2 linked regions of the Macaca mulatta genome follow. Each later gene encodes a partner of the first gene's protein in a complex. Links are inferred from orthologs where the notes say so. Each region holds a gene or a part of one and is shown in the gene's direction. Other genes may lie near its edges. The genes, in order: SUPV3L1 and PNPT1.

What was found.
Region 2: SUPV3L1 (region 1) and PNPT1 share a complex: the UniProt entries of both Homo sapiens proteins name them as parts of the mitochondrial degradosome (mtEXO) complex. The link is inferred for Macaca mulatta from reciprocal best matches to the Homo sapiens genes SUPV3L1 and PNPT1.

Annotation. Positions count from the first base shown.
Region 1 is NC_133414.1:80,430,761-80,439,693, reverse strand, and holds the end of SUPV3L1 (ATP-dependent RNA helicase SUPV3L1, mitochondrial), read left to right. Parts: coding exon 1-68; intron 69-412; coding exon 413-589; intron 590-4,560; coding exon 4,561-4,709; intron 4,710-5,371; coding exon 5,372-5,807; 3' UTR 5,808-5,898; downstream 5,899-8,933. UniProt on the Homo sapiens protein: Major helicase player in mitochondrial RNA metabolism. Component of the mitochondrial degradosome (mtEXO) complex, that degrades 3' overhang double-stranded RNA with a 3'-to-5' directionality in an ATP-dependent manner.
Region 2 is NC_133418.1:68,926,619-68,936,462, forward strand, and holds the start of PNPT1 (polyribonucleotide nucleotidyltransferase 1, mitochondrial), read left to right. Parts: upstream 1-3,737; 5' UTR 3,738-3,755; coding exon 3,756-3,916; intron 3,917-9,844. UniProt on the Homo sapiens protein: RNA-binding protein implicated in numerous RNA metabolic processes. Catalyzes the phosphorolysis of single-stranded polyribonucleotides processively in the 3'-to-5' direction. Mitochondrial intermembrane factor with RNA-processing exoribonulease activity.

The DNA of each region.
Region 1 (8,933 bases):
ATCCAACTGCTGAGCAGATTGAAATGTTTGCCTACCATCTCCCTGATGCAACACTTTCCAATCTCATTGTAAGTGGAAACTCCCTTTCGAATCTCTTCTAAAAATGTTGATATGTCAAGTGATTACTGCTTAACCTCATGAGCATGAATGGATAGTCTGCCTTTGAGAAGTTGCTATTTATAAAATTTATTTTACAAGCGAAAACTTTTTCTCAAAATCTTTTGGGACTTTAGTCTTGAGGAATTTCCTCTCAGTATTTCAGGTGGGGAAGGATACGAGGGAGCGATTAAAGCAAGCCTTTATGGAAGTTTGTTCTGGATTAAAGAGATTGCCTTTTATAGGCTTGAGTGTTATTCATTGTTCATTTTAATTGACTTAGGCAGTCCAGTAATTTCATGTCTTTTTTCCCCAGGATATTTTTGTAGACTTTTCACAAGTTGATGGGCAGTATTTTGTCTGCAATATGGATGATTTTAAATTTTCTGCAGAGTTGATCCAGCATATTCCATTAAGTCTGCGAGTGAGGTATATTTTCTGCACGGCCCCTATCAACAAGAAGCAGCCTTTTGTGTGCTCTTCACTGTTACAGGTAAGCCTTTATCTTTAAGATATTTTGAGTTCCTTCAGGTTCATACAGTTTCCCCAAACAGTACTTTGTTATTCAACATAAAACAATTAGAAGAGTACTCTGTAATATGAGAGACTTTGTAAAAACTTAAATAGGGATTAATAGTAGCAATAGTGTTCAGTTTTCTTTTTTTTTTTTTTTTGAGACGGAGTCTCGCTCTGTCGCCCAGGCTGGAGTGCAGTGGCCGGCTCTCAGCTCACTGCAAGCTCCGCCTCCTGGGTTCACGCCATTCTCCTGCCTCAGCCTCCCGAGTAGCTGGGACTACAGGCGTCCGCCACCTCGCCTGGCTAGTTTTTTGTATTTTTTTTAGTAGAGACGGGGTTTCACCGTGTTAGCCAGGATGGTCTTGATCTCCTGACCTCGTGATCCGCCCGTCTCGGCCTCCCAAAGTGCTGGGATTACAGGCTTGAGCCACCGCGCCCAGCCATGTTCAGTTTTCTTAAGTGTAAAGCACTGAGCCAGGAGTTACTGTCTTGTATGAGCACCATGCCAGGGTTCTAGCCCCTTTTTACTCATTTGGGCAGGGATGCAAATCTCTGACTTCTGAGAAGCACAGGATTCCTGGGGGCCAGGAAGGACAGTGGACACTGAACTTCCTGCCCCGACTTGCTGTTCTCTCACCTCTCTGGGACCTTGCCCGCCCTATTTCCTCTGCTTTGCATGCTCTCCCCACCCCACTAAACCCAAAGGCCTCCCCTTCTCTGAATCTTGTCCTGACTCACTGAGGTTCATTGCCATTTCCTCTGTAGGCCTGAGCATTCTGCATACGAACTATATTCTAATCAAATCTATCTCTAAACTTATTTTTTAAATAATGTAAATAGTCCAGTGCTGTGGCTTATGCCTGTAATCCCAGCACTTTGGGAGGCCAAGGCAGGAAGGCCAACTCTGCTTAAGCCTAAGAGTTCGAGAACATCTCCAGCAACATAGCAAGACTCTGTCCTTTAAAAAAAAAAATTACATAAATAATACATACATTCTCTTTATACAAAATGAAAACATTACAGATAGCTTAAATGTGGCTCCCTCCCAATCTTAGTCCTCTGAAATAACTACTTGTGTAAGTTTGTGTGTATCTTTGCAGACTGTTTTTCACTGCGTTTGCCTACATGCATGTTCATATGGAAACACTAGATTTGTGAGGGTCCGTTTCCCTGTAAAAAATTATCTTTTGTGTTTTGAGACAGAGTCTCACTCTGTCGCTCAGGCTGGAGTGCAGTGGTGCCATCTCAGCTCACTGCAACCTCTGCCTCCTGGATTCAAGCGATTCTTGTGCCTCAGACTCCTGAGTATCTGGGCTTACAGGCACGTGCCATGCCTGGCTAATTTTTTTATATTTTGTAGAGGCAGGGTTTTGCCATGTTCCCCAGGCTGGTCACGAACTCCTGAGCTCAAGCAGTCCACCCGCCTCAGCCTCCCAAAGTGCTAGGATTACAGGCATGAGCCATTGTGCCCAGCCCCATCAACGTTATCTTAATGAATTACTCAAAACTTGCCTTTTCTTTTTCTCTTAACAATATGTGTTAGAGACCTTCCATGTCTAGATGTTTACCTAGAAAATATATTTCTTAGAGCTGGCATTTGTGAAAAACTTAGCTAGCATAAGGTTGAAGTTTATGGAACAATCTTAAACTGCTGTAAACTGACCTGAGTGGAACTCAGTCCCCATGGCCTTGGCCCCATTCACACCATCCTTTAAAGAGCTATTCTAGTGAATAGAAGCTCTTTATACTAAAGTGTAGGGAGTCTCTGGAACGTGCAGGTCAACAGTTGCTTGTTTTCTTAAGGTCTCGCTGTGTTGCCCAGGCTGCAGTGCAGTGGCGCAATCATAGCTCACTGTAACCTCAAACTCCTGGGCTCAGGCGATCCTTCCACCTCAGCCTCCTGAGTAGCTAGGACTACAGGTGTGCGCCATGATGCGCTGTGTGTTTTCTTTTTGAGATGAAGTCTCCCTCTGTTGCCCCAGCTGGAGTGCAGTGGCATGAACTTGGCTCACTGCAACCTCCGCCTCCCAGGTTCAAGTGATTCTCCTGTCTCAGCCTCCCAAGTAGCTGGGATTACAGGTGCCCGCCACCACGCCTGGCTAATTTTTTGTATTTTTAGTAGAGATGGGGTTTCACCATGTTGGCCAGGCTGGTCTCAAACTCCTGACCTCAAGTAATCCACCCACCTTGGCCTCCCAAAGTGCTAGGATTATAGGCGTGAGCCACCTTGCCTGGCCGCTCCATGTGTTTTCTGTTTGAAAATTAGAATATGAAATCTAGAGGCTTTTCCTTTTTTCTTGATCTTTGTCATTACTGAACTATGAAAGAGCTCAATCACACTGATGACTTACCATGCCCCTTAGGACTGTGATTTGGAAGCTGTGCTCCATGGAGCTCCTTTAGGGCCAGCTGCTGGATGGATGGATGGATGGACGGACGGATGGATGGACGGATGGATGGATAGATGGATGGATGGGCGGGCGGGCGGGCATCTCTCCCTGCCCTCTCTGCATAACTCCTTACTTAGCTCTTTTATGTATTGGGCTTCCATTAGTTGTCTGTGGCCAAAAAAAAATAGAGCTACTGCCTTTATAAGATAACTTGAGAACTCATGCTTGGCCTGTCCTGCCTGGCAGGCAGTGTGGTCACATTTCTGTCTTTTATGGCTATCCTACTTGGCATTTATTAAACTTAGCAGAGTGGACCAGACTGAATTTAACACAATTGTGGCATTATTTAAACACAGTTGATCTAAAACTACTCTTCCTCTCTGAAGTATTGACCTTGTTTAGGTTAAGCATTTAGAGATAATTTCCCCTAATTAGGAAATGAATCATTTGAAATCAGCTTGAATCTTGAAGCTGAAGATTTTATGTAAACTCTTGCTTGAGGGGTCTTACTGTGTGGTTGTATGTCTATCTTCTGTAGTACAGGTGATGTATAATATTGCCTAATGTCTGGAATGCAACATGGTTTTCAAAGCACATTCCCCAGCAGTGTCTTGTGGTTCAAGACAGGGCTGTGGTGTCTCATGTTACCAGTGAGGAAGCTGAAGCACAGAGTGGTGACTTGGCCAAAGCCACACAGCTCGCAGGAGGCAGAGCCAAGATTGACTTCCGACCAGCCTTGCACCAGGCCACCTCAGAGGGATTCTATATAATAAGGGAGAACATTAACAAGATAAACTTAAGCTCATATTTGAGGTTATAGGACTATTACATAATGAGATAGAAATAGGAGTCTTCAGGTACTGTCTGTCCATAGCTTAGAACATCACATATTCCTAAATAAGAGTTAACAGACAGGCCCTGGAAAGTTAGTCCTTCTACAGCTCTTCTTTTTTTTTTTTTTTTAAACTGCTCCTTGTGAAGCAGGGATACTCTATAGGTTGTGTGCCCAGAGTAGCCCTTGAACTTCTGCTGCACGTATTATTACCCTGGTTTTAGAAAAAGAAGGCAATCATCTTCTTTTTTTTTTTTTTTTTCTTTCTCCAGATGGTCTCACGCTGCTGGAGTGCAGTGGCTAGATCATGGCTCACTGCAGCCTTGACCTCCCCGGGCTCAGTAATCCTCCACCTCAGCTTCCTGAGGAGTAGATGGAATCACAGGCACACACCACCATGCCCAGCTAATTCTTTGTGTTTTTTATAGAGATGGGGTTTCTCCATGTTGCCCCAGCTAGTCTCGAACTCCTGGGCTCAAGTGATCTACCTGCTTCAGCCTCCCAGAGTGCTGGGATTATAGACGTGAGCCACTGTACCTGGCCTTATAAAGTATTAAATGTTCTTAACAAAGGAGAAAAGTACAAAGGAGAAAAGAAACCACCTGTCTATTGAAATACAACCACAATTAATGTTTTTGTTTTGCTTCCTTATTTTTTCTCTTTCTAATTGTAGACTTAAGGGAATTCTGACACTTCTATGAAACTCTTTTCCTCTTTCCCTCTCAGTTTGCCAGGCAGTATAGCAGGAATGAGCCCCTGACCTTTGCATGGTTACGCCGATACATCAAATGGCCTTTACTTCCACCTAGGAATATTAAAGACCTCATGGATCTTGAAGCCGTGCACGATGTCTTGGATCTTTACCTGTGGCTAAGGTACCAACATTTTTCCTTTATGTGCTCTCATTTTTCTAGTAGGACAAATTAAAGGTTTTATGAATTTGTTTTTCTATTTCAAATTATGGACATATTTGCAAGATGCTCTATATTATGTCTGTTGTCCATAAAGGCAGTTCAACTGATGGAATGGTTTATACCCATTCCAAAAATGACTTGAGTTATTACAATTCTAGTTAAGTTGGCTGGGTGAGAAGGAAGGTCCACTGGACTCTTGCTGGTCAAAGGATGGTCCTTGGACCAAAAGCACTGGTATCACCTGGGAGCTTGTTAGAACTAAGGAGTATCAGGCCCATCCCTGACTTGATCAGATTCTGCATTTTAACAAGATCCCTGGGTGATTCACTTGTCCATTATCATTTGAGAAGTCCTGTTCTAGGCCAGTGATTCTTAAAGGAGGTGCATGTCCCTCTCTAGGAGTATATCAAGAGTCTGTTGAGGTATAGTGCTGACCCTCCCTCAGGATGACATATTCCTCGGATGTGTGGGGGCAGAAATAAAGGTTGAGCAAAGGCACTGAAGAGAGTTTGCAAAAAGAACATTTAGAATTAATCAATGTCAAGATGTAGGTGTGCCATTGAGAGTAGTCCAGTGACTGCAGTAAGAGCTGTTGCCATAATGCTAATGTGTCTTTTTCCCAGCTACCGATTTATGGATATGTTTCCAGATGCCAGCCTTATTCGAGATCTCCAGAAGGAACTAGATGGTATTATCCAAGATGGTGTGCACAATATCACTAAATTGATTAAAGTGTCTGAGACGCATAAGCTGTTGAATTTGGAGAGCTTTCCATCAGTGAGCCAGTCACGATTGTCAGGAACCTTAAAGAGCCAAGCTAGAAGGACACGCGGCACCAAAGCTCTAGGGAGTAAAGCTACTGAGCCACCCAGCGCCAATGCAGGAGAGCTGTCCCTTGCTTCCAGATTGGTGCAGCAAGGACTCCTCACTCCAGACATGCTGAAACAGCTAGAAAAAGAGTGGATGACACAACAGACTGAATGCAGCAAAGAAAGAACGGAGTCTGGGACTCATCCAAAAGGGACAAGAAGAAAGAAGAAGGAACCTGATTCGGACTAGTTTTCTGTTCCTGGTTTTTTTTTTTTTTTTTTTTTTCTTTTTTTTAATTTAATTTTGCAAATAAAAATCTATTTTGAATCCTTTTTCCTCATACGCATTTACTCCCTGCTCTCGTATTGTGGCTATCTGGTACTGGGAGTTTTTTGGTGTTGGGGGGGGGGTGTGTGTGTGTGGTTTTTTTTTTTTTTTTGCACAGAAAAATCACTCTTGATGACTAAACTGTTTTGGTTTTTTTTTTCAACATTTAGAAAATACTAGGATATCATAGAGGTTTAATTTAAATCTTTATATAATGGCCATTTGTAGAAGAGTACTGAGACAGTGCACCATAAGGAACTCTGCATGGGAATAAAATCGTTTTGGTGAATCGTTTGACCAGCTTCCTATGCCATGCTGAGGATGTCGTGGATGGAATTCTTTGACAAACATTGCTGTCTATTGTACCCATATACCAGAGGCTATTTAGGTGCTGGAAATATGCAGTAAGCAAGACTGGCAATGTTCTACCCTCATGGATCTCATATTTGGTAGGAGAGACAGGAACAGGTTAACAAATCATGTCAGGCCGATGAGGACAGAGATTGTAGTCTGTTTCACTGCTGAATCCACAGTGTCTGGAATATAGCAGAAATCAGTCTTTGTGAGATGAATGGGTGTAATTTTAGAGAAGACTGCTAGAAAGAAGTAGAATAAGTAAAGAGTGATGCTGGGTGGCAGGGATGGGCTGTTTTAGGTAGGGTGGTCTTCCCTTGTCCAAAGGCCAGTCTGATGCATAGTGGCCTATGCTTGTCCAACAAAGTTTTCAACCCTGTTCAGAAACCTAGCTAAAAGGGGTTTAAAGGTGGAAGCTTTGGAATTAGACAGATGTGGTTCCTTTTCTTATCACTCACAGCTTAGTAGCCTTGCCGTCTCTGGGCTTGATCTCACATTTGAAGAAAATGGTCAGTACGCTCACTTAGAGTTGTTTTGGAGGTTAAATGTGATCATGTGCCATTTAGCACAGGGCCTGGCACACAGGAAGCATTTTATTATATAAATGAACCTGAAGGTTTGGGTCCAGTCTGGGCTGTGAATTGAGCTCTCAGATTATTCTGACAACTGAACTAATTTCTTGAGCAACTATTGAATTGAGGCTGACATCACAGTAGGGATTAAATATGATTTGATTCAAATTGGGTGAGGGAACGTAGCCAGATTAGCAACCTCTCTCTGCTTTTTTCTTCGGTAGTTTAGAGGTGACATTTAACTGAGATGACAATCTTCATTCTGACCTTTGCCTTCATGGAAATAAAGGCTAAGTGGGTGGCACTCAATCTGTATCTGCCTTGCTTATGGATAAACTAGTGAAATGCCTGGAAGGGCTTATCTCTTGATATTCTGCAACGAGGCAACTGCAGCTTCTAAAATTTGCTTACCCCTGTGACTTACACCATAGCAGACATAATCATGCTTGTCCAGATGGTTACAAGAAATATCTATGAACTGAACCAAATAGGGGATTTGGTCCCATTGTATTTAAGTGATGGGGTACATCACTTATAGTGCTGTTAACTCTCCTGTTTTCTCCAGTTTGGGGGCCAGAGTTGGTAAGTCAGAGAAAAGACTTAGGCGAGACACTTAAAAACTAAGGCAAGTGGAAAGTCCTGAATATGTTCAATAAGGAAGTGGCTGGGCACAGTGGCTCATGCCTGTAATCCCAGCACTTTGGGAGACCAAGGCAGGAAGATCGCTTGAGGCCAGGAGTTTGAGACCAGCTTGGGCAACGCAGTGAGACCCCATCTCTACAAAAATTTTTAAAAATTAGCCAGGTGTGGTGGCGTTCACCAGTAGTACAGCTACTTGGGAGGCTGGGGTGGAAGCTGCGGTGAGCAGTGATCATGCCACTGCATTCCAGCCTGGACAACAGAGCGAGACTCTGTCTCTAAATAAATAAGTAAATAAGTTAAATAAAGTTAAAGCCTCCAATAAGAGAGGTGGGGGTGGGAGGTGCTGTAAGGGAAGGGCTGCTTGAACATTTAGCTAATGAGCATTTATAAATAGTGATAGTTTGCCCTTTCAGTCCTCCTTCCCTTGGAGGGAAAAGAGGGCACCGTAGTAAGAAGAGACTAAAGAAAAGATGGCAGCATGTGAAGCGAAACAGGAAGAGTAGAATTGGAGTGGCCCTGGAGAGTTCTCTTCAGTGTACCTAAAATTGTCACCAAGAAAGCAGCCTAGTCTTCCTTCTCTGCAACAAGCTTGACATGTCACTTACCTTTCTTTGTGGGCTTCAGGGCCAGCTGAATTCCAGGTGTTCATTCCCATTTCACTATGGTCATGTTGCTCTTTCTGAAAGCCCTTTCCTATCCTTGCAGTCTTCTCACAGATTTTGAAGTACTTGCCTGAGAGCCCTCCTTGGATTATTATGGATTCCACTGAACTTAAACATGGGATGTGGACTAAGGCTTAGAAACTATCACTATACAGACCTGGTAATCTAATAAAATGTGGTTAGAAAATGACCGAGAGTAATATCCAGTGACTTGTAATGTTTTGTATGTTATATATGTGGAAGAGTATAAATCTGCAAAATGAAACTCTTGAAAAGTGACTGTAAATCACAAATATATAAAACTATTATCACAAATCAGAGTCTCTTATGACTCAAAACTGAGAGTCTGTAATTATGATGCAGTCATTCTGTGTGTGTCTAACTCAAACCTATTAGGATGCAATGAAAAGTAGAGGTTTGCTAAGGGACAGGCAAATGGATAAGGGAATCATGCTGAGATTTCCCTCCCCTGTTTCAAAACTTTAAAATACATAAACCTGGCTGGGTGCAGTGGCTCACGCCTGTAATCCCAACACTTTGGGAGGCCAAGGCAGACAGATCGCTTGAGCTCAAAAGTTCAAGACCAGCCTGGGCAACACGGCAAAACACTGTCTCTACAAAAAAAGCAAAAATTAGCCAGGCATGTTGGTGTGCGCCCGTAGTCCCAGCTACCCGAGAGGCTAAGGTGGGAGGATCACTTGAGCCCAGGAGGCAGAGGTTGCAGTGAGCTGAGAAGGTACCACTACACTCCAACCTGGGCAACAGTACCAGACCCTGTCTCAAAAAAAATAGATAGGCTGAGCGCGGTGGCTCAAGCC
Region 2 (9,844 bases), on another chromosome or scaffold:
ATGTATACCCTGTCTAAACTAAACTACAAACTAAATTAAAATGTAGTTAAAGGGCCGGGCTCTGTGGCTCATGCCTGTAATCCTAGCACTTTGTGAGGCCAAGGCAGGCAAATCACCTGAGGTCGGGAGTTGGAGACCAGCCTGGCCAACATAGTGAAACCCCGTCTCTACTAAAAATACAAAAATTAACTGGGCGTGATGGTGCACGTCTGTAGTCCTAGCTACTTGGGAGGCTGAGGCAGAAGAATTGCTTGAACCCAGGAGGCGGAGGTTGCAGTGAGCCAAGATTACATCACTGCTCTCCAGCCTGGGCAACAGAGCAAGACTCCATTTCAAAAAAAAAAAAAGTAGTTAAACACAACTTAATGCAATGATGTTTTATTTAACTGTAGTTGCTTATTCAGAGCGTGTAGTGATATTAACTATTTTGATGCAGGTTCATTGGAGTTTGAAGAAAAGGGAAAAGGAGATCTGAGAAGTTGCTAGTGGATTTAAGTTGGATCATTTTTAATGCCCTTCAACAATCATAGGTAAATAAATTCCTTTTAAATTATATTTTGGCTGTTGAACTATACTTGAGGGAAACATAACTCTACTTCCAGAATAACATCTCAGACTGAACCTCATGGATTATAGCTTCAGTAGTAACAACTACAAGAATTTAAACGTTTTATATTTTTGTTTCTACGCTAATCTAAAAATGCTTCATATAAACATATAAACGTATTCCGTATCATCTATATCTTCATAACAAAGCTCTGCTACAAGATTTTAGTGCCTACATTTGCTTTTGAGTTTACTATCCAATTACTACTATTTGAATTATATCAGGTTTATGTGAGGAAATGGGGGTGGGGGATTCTTAATAGGTAAATGCTGCTTTCCATTATTTCTGGCTGGATGAAAGCTAACCGATTCAAGGAGTTCAAGGAGTTCTGAAGAAGAGAAAGATGTTCAGAATACCTGGAAACTGGAGGAAGAATTAACAAAACGCTGGATAAGGCCGGGTGCGGTGGCTCACGCCTGTAATCCCTGCACTTTGGGAGGCCAGGGCGGGTGAATCACCTGAGGTCAGGAGTTATAGACCAACCTGGCCAACATGATGAAACCCCATCTCTACTAAAAATACAAAAAATTAGCCAGGCATGGTGGTGGATGCCTGTAATCCCAGCTACTCAGGAGGCCTGCGGCAGGGGAATCACTTGAACCCTGGAGGCAGAGGTTGCAGTGAACTGAGATTGTGCCACTGCACTCTAGCCTGGGCAACAAGAGCAAAACTCCGTCTTAAAAGAAAAGGAAAAGGCAGGATAATAGCTAAATTTACCATTTATTGATGTTGACAATGTGCTAGGTACTATTATAAATATATCATCTGACATGTTTAATCCTTACAAAAACCCTGTTAGTTTCATGTTACTATCCATTTTTATGGGGAAACTGAGGCTCAGAGAGCTAGGGTCACACAACTGGTAATTAACAGACAAGATCGGAACCAGCTGGGACTAACTCCAAGTCTATGCTCTAAACTATTAGGCAATACTGCCTAAATGAAAATGATTACATAGTACTTAAGTATATTACCAAAAGATGATTTTGTGTTCTTACTCTATAAATCAAAAGTCATGTTCAACTGTGGCAAGTAGGTTTTCTGAGACATTTATCTTCATGACAGATTTCAATAGATTGATTGGTCTTGAAAATGTGGCAACTCAAGGTAAAGTAAAAGGGAGAAGACGCAAAAACTGCTTTAACACTAAAAATCTGTAAACAAGGTTAATGGTAATCCCTCTATTGGCACGGAAATCCCAAATCAGTAATAATAGCTCATGAAAGCAAGGTGTCAGAAAGCTGCTTTGCCACCAAATCATTTATCTGTTTAGAGTTCATCATTCTTTTTTCTTTTTTAAATCATGGATCAACATTTTTCTTTTCTTTCTTTCTTTTTTTTTTTTTTTTGAGATGGAGTCTCGCTCTGGAGTGCAGTGCGTGATCTCGGCTCACTGCAACCTCCGCCTCCTGGATTCAAGCAATTATTGTGCCTCAGCCTCCGGAGTAGCTGGGATTACAGCATGCGCCACCACACCCAGCTAATTTTTGTATTTTTAGTACAGACGCGTTTTCAGCCTGTTGGCCAGGATGAACTGGTTCTCCTGACCTCGTGATCCATCTGCCTCGGCCTCCCAGCGTGCTGGGATTACAGGCGTGGGCCACCGCGCCAGGACTTTTTTTTTTTTTAGACGGAGTTTCACTCTTGTAGAAATGGCGCGATCTCGGCTCACTGCAACCTCTGCCTCCCGGGTTCAAGCGATTACCCTGCCTCAGCCTTCCGAGTAGCTGGGATTACAGGCATGAACCACCCCGCCCGGCTAATTTGGTATTTTTAGTAGAGACGGGGGTTTCTCCATATTGGTCAGGCTGGTCTCGAACTCCCGACCTCAGGTGATCCGCCTGCCTCGGCCTCCCAAAGTGCTGGGATTACAGGCCTCCCAAAGTGCTGGGATTACAAGCCACCGCGTCCAGCCAACGTTTTTAATTCTGAAAACTGTGTTTGAATGAGTGTTGGGTTTTTGTTGCTTGGTTTTCTTTGGGGGAAGGCGGTTATGACCTTATACAAGAAATATACATCATAATATGAAAATGCTCATTGGTTCATTAAAGGAACAACATAAAGAATTTCTAACGGAACGGATTAATGGGATGGAAGAAATTTACCCACTCTCTAAAAATTGTTCAAATCCCAAAAACTTTTTTTTTTTTTTTTCATTTTACAAAATATTTACTTCAAACAGTAGCTGGCATTTTGCATTTAAGAGTTGAACCTGGCCGGGCGCGGTGGCTCAAGCCTGTAATCCCAGCACTTTGGGAGGCCGAGGCGGGCGGATCACGAGGTCAGGAGATCGAGACCATCCTGGCTAACACCGTGTAAACCCCGTCTCTACTAAAAGATACAAAAAAAATTAGCCGGGCGTGATGGCGGGCACCTGTAGTCCCAGCTATTCAGGAGGCTGAGGCAGGAGAATGGCATGAACCCGGGGGGCGGAGCTTGCAGTGAGCCGAGGTCGCGCCGTTGCACTCCAGCCTGGGGCACAGAGCAGGACTCCGTCTCAAAAAAAAAAAAAAAAAAAAAAAAAAAAGAGTTCGACCAAAAGGGACAGGAATATAAATTTCTAATTATTAGCAATGGAAATGAAAATGAATCAGAAATGACAATAAATATTTCTAAAATTACAAGTCGATGAAAAATGAATTAATTTGCTGTAAATCGGTTAACACAAATCGCTGCAGTGTCATATCTGCTATGTGAAATTTATAAAATAAAAACCAGGGCGGAGAAGGGGAGAGGGAGAGCTCTTTCCAAAGGCCCACCACACAAATTCTAATTCTTAGTTCACAGAGTCAAATAATAATAATGTGTTGTTCTATGACTTCTAGTAATAAGAGTAAATATAAATTTACTCTGCATATTACACGTGTACATTATTCTAGGACTTCTCCTTTAAATTACGATAGTACACACACAAAAACCTTATTTATCTAATTGCCTTTCATTGGCAGATAACAACAAAGATCGTTTACAACATAATCGCTTTCTGATAGGTTTGATCCTCTCTAGTCTTCGTAGAAGGTGGCCAACGTTTCCGTTGTCCCGGCGTCCCTTAGGCACCGCGGAAAACGAAACTGCATCAGGCTCCGCCCCACGGTCTGAGGAGTGAGCCAATCAGGGCACAGCCTGGGTTGATCGCGTGCCGGGTGTCATGGCTGCCTGCAGGTACTGCAGCTCGTGCCTCCGGCTCCGGCCCCGGAGCGATGGTCCCTTCCGTCTGCCAGGGCGGGATCGGGCACTCACCCAGTTGCAGGCGCGTGCACTATGGAGTAGCGCAGGGTCTCGAGCTGTGGCCGTGGACTTAGGCAACAGGTAAGGAGTGGCGTGCGTTCCCTGTATTGTCATAAGGCGTCCTGTCCAGCCAGCCTGAGCGTATTCGTCTCCCAGGGTAGAAACCCAGTATCCTAGGTCTATTTAATCTCTCTTTACCCTAAATCTAAATTCCAAATTTCTCTTTCCGGGTTTGGAATGTGACTCCTCGGACCCTCCTTCTTCCCGCGCTATCTCATGCCCTCTGTTGGTGTGTGCCGGGCTTCTTTGCTCCATCCGACTCTGTCCCTCCACCTGACTTCCGATCTCTTTACTTTCCGGGACCACTGGACTCTTAAGTGGGAAACATTCCACCTAGGGATAACGAGTTGACGTGGATGTATCACGTCATCCAATCTAATTGATTGCCTAAAGTGTGGCCACTATGACCCCCGGTTAGGAGGGAAAGGAAAAGTCAGTTTTTTGAACGCCAGTTATAGGATCCTCGCAATCTTTTTAAACCTGTCGTAAAGGTACTATTACCCTCGTTTTGTAGAGGCTCAAAAAAGGTTAGATAACTTTCTAAGAGTCAATTAAAAAGTATTGTGGGACTAGGTGGTTTTTGAATTTCTGTTTCTTGCTTACAAAGCCCGTACTTTTTTAAGGGACCGTTTAAAAAAGAAAAAACTTATGCTTTAATCGTTTTTAGAATAAATGGAATTGCTAATGCAAACTTCATATATCTAAATTTCTTTTTTTTTTTTTTTTTTTTTGAGAAGGAGTCTTGCTCTGTCGCCCAGGCTGGAGTGCAGTGGCCGGATCTCAGCTCACTGCAAGCTCTGCCTCCCAGGTTTACGCCATTCTCCTGCCTCAGCCTCCCAAGTAGCTGGGACTACAGGCACCCCCCACCTCGCCCGGCTAGTTTTTTGTATTTTTTAGTAGAGACGGGGTTTCACCGTGTTAGCCAGGATGGTCTCGATCTCCTGACCTCGTGATCCGCCCGTCTCGGCCTCCCAAAGTGCTGGGATTACAGGCTTGAGCCACCGCGCCCGGCCTTATCTAAATTTCTTACGTGTACTTTGAAAAAATTTTGACCCCAGTTCATACAAAAAGCAAAAAAATCGTTTTGAATCCAGGTCTCCCACTCTAACTTTGATAAGTAATTCACGTTGAACAAGTTAATTCACCATTTTCTTGTGCAAAGTGTGGAGACTGGATTCCATTAAGGGTCTGCAAACTTTTTCTGTAAAGGACTGGATAATATATATATTAGGCTTTTTGGGGTATACACTGTGTGTATGTGTTTACAAACCCTTTAGAAATGTTTTAAAAAACGGCCCAGCACAGTGGCTCACACCTGTAATTCGAGCACTTTGGGAGGCTGAGGTGGATGGATCACCTGAGGTCAGTAGTTGGAGACCAGCCTGGCCAACATGGTGAAACCCCATCTTTACTAAAAATACAAAAATTAGCTGGGCATGGTGGCAGGCACCTGTAATTCCAGTAACTTGGGAGGCCGAGGCAGGAGAATCGGTTGAACCCAGGAGACAGAGGATGCAGTGGCCGAGATTGTGCCATTGCACTCCAGCCTGGGCGACAAAAGCAAAACTCTGTCTCAAAAATAAATAAATAAATAAAAATAAAAAAACATTTTTAGTTACAGAGTAGTACAGAAATAGGCCATGAGCTGTAGTTTGGTCACCCCTAAACTAGGTTATCTCTAAGGCTCATTCCACTCCCAGCATTCCTTAATTCTGATTTTTGAGGGAAGAGGACATCTTTTCCATTCTTCAAGGACTGCACATGCTTCGAAGAAATGCCCAGAACATTTCATTCAACAGTCACGTACTGTGAGATAGGCACTAGATACTCAAAACAAGATGCAGCTCCTACCCTCCATATTTTCCATAAATAATCTACTTTGACTCTTTCTTTTATTAATCAACCTGTTCTTTTGTAGATAGTTCTCTTTAAACTCGTGTCATGTATTGAAATAACTAGACTCATAAATATCATACTTGCTGGATAAATTCTTTCATTTTTGTCTTGTTTGCCATTGGCAACATTTATTGAGTGACACATTATATTTGTTACCATATGTATTCTTTACTGCATTCTAGAAGATTATATAATTATTGTAGGTGTTTTTCAGATAGTATATTTAATGCTCACGGTAACCTTGGAGGCAGGTGTTTAATTTTCATTTCAGCAGTCTTTTATTGAGCATCTACTATGCATCAAATCACTGAGGATATTCAAAAGAGTATGCCACTGTGGGCAAAATGCTAAGGCAGTAGCCCCATTAATGGAGTAGACCTGTAGCTGTCACAGCTTTTCTTCCCTGTGTTTTGGGCCCACTGTAGTCTAGTTAAAGATCCTCCACTCCCCTTCACAGAGATCACTTAGGTATTCAGAATTCACACTGGTAGACAGAATGCCAGTTCCTGGTAGGTTTTGAGAAGTATTGGTAGCATCTTACTTGGGGTTAAACAAAATTTCAAGATGCCAAATTTACATTTGCCACAGGAAACCATTACTTAATACTGATTTCAGCTATAGGTTGTTGCAGGTCTGTGATACTACACAGTATGACTGGTTTTGAGTATCCCATTCCTTCCATCTACTCCACGTATTAATCCAGCACCAGCCTCCTCTCTGTACCTCATTATTCCCATTAGTCAGAGGACACCCATTTTATTGTAGGCTTTCATCATTATACCATCTGTATTGACTAAGTAGAAACCCAACTAGAACTTATCAAATATTCCCTGATTCAAAAAAAAAAAAAACTAATATTTCAGAGTCAAGAATTTGGTACTACAAAATCACTATTTATTAACATGTATTAAATGTACATACTTTGTTCTGACTTTCAAACTTAACAAAATGGGTCTAACTGAACAGATGAATATGCTTTTCATTAACTCAGGCTTCTGGCAAAGGTATTTAACAGGTGAAAATATTAAGGGTTGTTCCTTCATCTCTTTGGTATGTGAAGGACAGAATAATCTTATTTGGGGCAGGGCATTGGGCCTGTCTGCATGCTTGTGTTTGGTTTGTGCATTTTCAGCACCAGACTATGAAAGAAGGTTGCTGAAGCTGAGTTCATGTGACAGAGCATCTTCCTCTGTATCTTCAGGGGTCACTGACTTGGTTTCATCTCAAAACACCTTTTGATGAATCTTGAGCTCTTTGACAAGTTTTGCTGGTCTGTTTCAAGACCTCAGTAAGCTCTTTTTGCATTCTCTGCTGAAACTGGGGAATAAGGCTGATAGTGCTGCCTATTTCATGTATATAAGACAGCTTTATTAAGATATAATTCACATACCATACAGTTCATTTAAAGTGTACAACTCGTCTGGGAGCAGTGGCTCATGTCTGTAATCCTAGCACTTTGGGAAGCCAAGGCAGGAGGATTGCTTGAGTTTGAGTCCAGGAGTTTGAGACCAGCCTGGGTAACATAATGAGACCTCATCTCTACAAAAAAATTTAAAAATTAGGCCAGTATGGTGGTGCACACCTGTATTTCGAGCTACTCAGGAGGCTGAGGTGGGAGGATTGCTTGAGCTTGGGAGGTCAAGGCTGCAGTGAGCTGTGATGGCACCACTGCACTCCAGCCTGGGCAACAGAGCAAGACCCTATCTCAAAATAAATAAATACAGATAAATAAAGTGTATAATTCAATGGATATTAGTATATTCAAAGTTTTGCAGCCATTACCACCATCAATTTTAGAACACTTCTATCACCCTAAAACGAAATTCATTAGTAGTAGTCACTTAGTATTTCTCCCCAGCCCCAGGCAACCACTAATCTACTTTCCATCTCTGTGGATTTGCCTATTATGAACGTTTCTTACGTGGAAACATAGTCTTTTGTGACTGCCTTCTTTCACTTAACATAATGTTGTCAATGTTTATTCATGTTGTAACATGTATAAGTACTTTGTTCCTTTTTATCACTGAATAATAATCCGTTGTATGAATTATACCACATTTAGCTTATCCATTCATCAGTTGATGGACATTTGGGTTGTTTCCATTTGGGAACTACTATGAATAATGCTACAAGGAACATTCATAACAGGTTGTGATTTTGATTTGCATTTCCCTGCTGATAGTTAATGATATTGAGCATATTTTTATGTCCTTACTGGCCATTTGTATGTCTTCTTTGGAGAGATGTCTGTTCAAGTCCTTTGCCAAGTGTGTTTTTTTTTTTTTTTTTTTTTTTTTTTGAGACGGAGTCTTGCTCTGTTGCCCAGGCTGGACTGCAGTGGCCGGATCTCAGCTCACTGCAAGCTCTGCCTCCCAGGTTTACGCCATTCTCCTGCCTCAGCCTCCCGAGCAGCTGGGACTACAGGCGCCCGCCACCTCGCCCGGCTAGATTTTTGTATTTTTTAGTAGAGACGGGGTTTCACCGTGTTAGCCAGGATGGTCTCGATCTCCTGACCTCGTGATCCGCCCGTCTCGGCCTCCCAAAGTGCTGGGATTACAGGCTTGAGCCACCGCGCCTGGCCGCCAAGTGTTTTTTTGTTTGTTTGTTTGTTTGTTTGTTTGAGACGGAGTCTCGCTCTGTCACCCAGGCTGGAGTGCAGTGACCGGATCTCAGTTCACTGCAAGCTCCGCCTCCCGGGTTCACGCCATTCTGCCTCAGCCTCCCGAGTAGCTGGGACTACAGGCGCCCGCCACCTCGCCCGGCTAGTTTTTTGTATTTTTTAGTAGAGACAGGGTTTCACCGTGTTAGCCAGGATGGTCTCGATCTCCTGACCTCGTGATCCACCCGTCTCGGCCTCCCAAAGTGCTGGGATTACAGGCTTGAGCCACTGCGCCCAGCCTCTTTGCCAAGTTTTAAAATTCAGTTGTCTTTATTGTTGAATTGTAAGCATTATTTAAATATTCTAGATATTAATACAAGTCCCTTATCAGATACTTGGTTTGCAAATATTTTTCTCTTAATATATGGCACTTCTTTTACTCTTAAAGTTTTAAATTTTTATGAAATCCAACTTACCTATTTTTTCTTTTGTCATTTATGCTTTTGATGTCATATTTAAGACTTTGGCCCAAGTCTCTGAAGATTTACTCCTGTGTTTTGTTTCTAAGACTTTTATCGTTTTAGCTCTTAACGTTTAAGTCCAGGATCCATTTTGAGTTAATTTATGAAGATTCATTCTTTTTTGCATCCGGTTGTTCACTATTGCCTCACAAGACTACTCTTTCCTCATTGAATTGAAGATTATTCTTTCCCCTTCTGTTGAACGTGAAGGTCCTTATAGGCAATATTTAGGAGTTTATATTTTGTCCTAAAAGCATTGGGAGAAATTCTCAAGTGTTTTTTGTTGTTGTTGTTTTGGTATGGAGTCTCAACTCTCGCCCAGGCTGGAGTGCATTGGCACAATCTCGGCTCGCTGTAACTTCCCCCTCCTGGGTTTAAGCAACTGTCTTGCCTCAGCCTCCCTAGTAGCTGGGATTATAGACAGGCACCACCATGCCCAGCTAATTTTGATATTTTTAGTAGAGATGGGGTTTCACCATGTTGGCCAGGTTGGTCTTGAACTGCTGACCTCAGGTGATCAGCCTGTGTCAGCCTTTCAAAGTCCTGGGATTACAGTTGGGAGACACCACGCCTGGCTAAAGGATTTTTAAGTAGGGAAACAATCCTATTTGTATGTTAAAATGTTACTGTAGTCAACAAGGTGAGAGATGATAAGAGACTGTACTAAGATGGTAAATGGAGCCAGGCACCTTGACTCACACCTGTAATCCCAGCACTTTGGGAGGCCAAGGCGGGAGAATTGCTTGAGGCCAGGAGTTCAAGACCAGCCTAGACAATATAGTGAGATCTCATCCATAACAAAAACTAAAATTAGCCAAGTGTAGTGGTGTGCACCTGTAGTCCCAACTACTCAGGAAGCTGAGTTGGAGGATCGCTTGAGCCCAGGTGTTCAAGGTTACAGTGAGTTGTAATTGTGCCATTGCACTCCAGCCT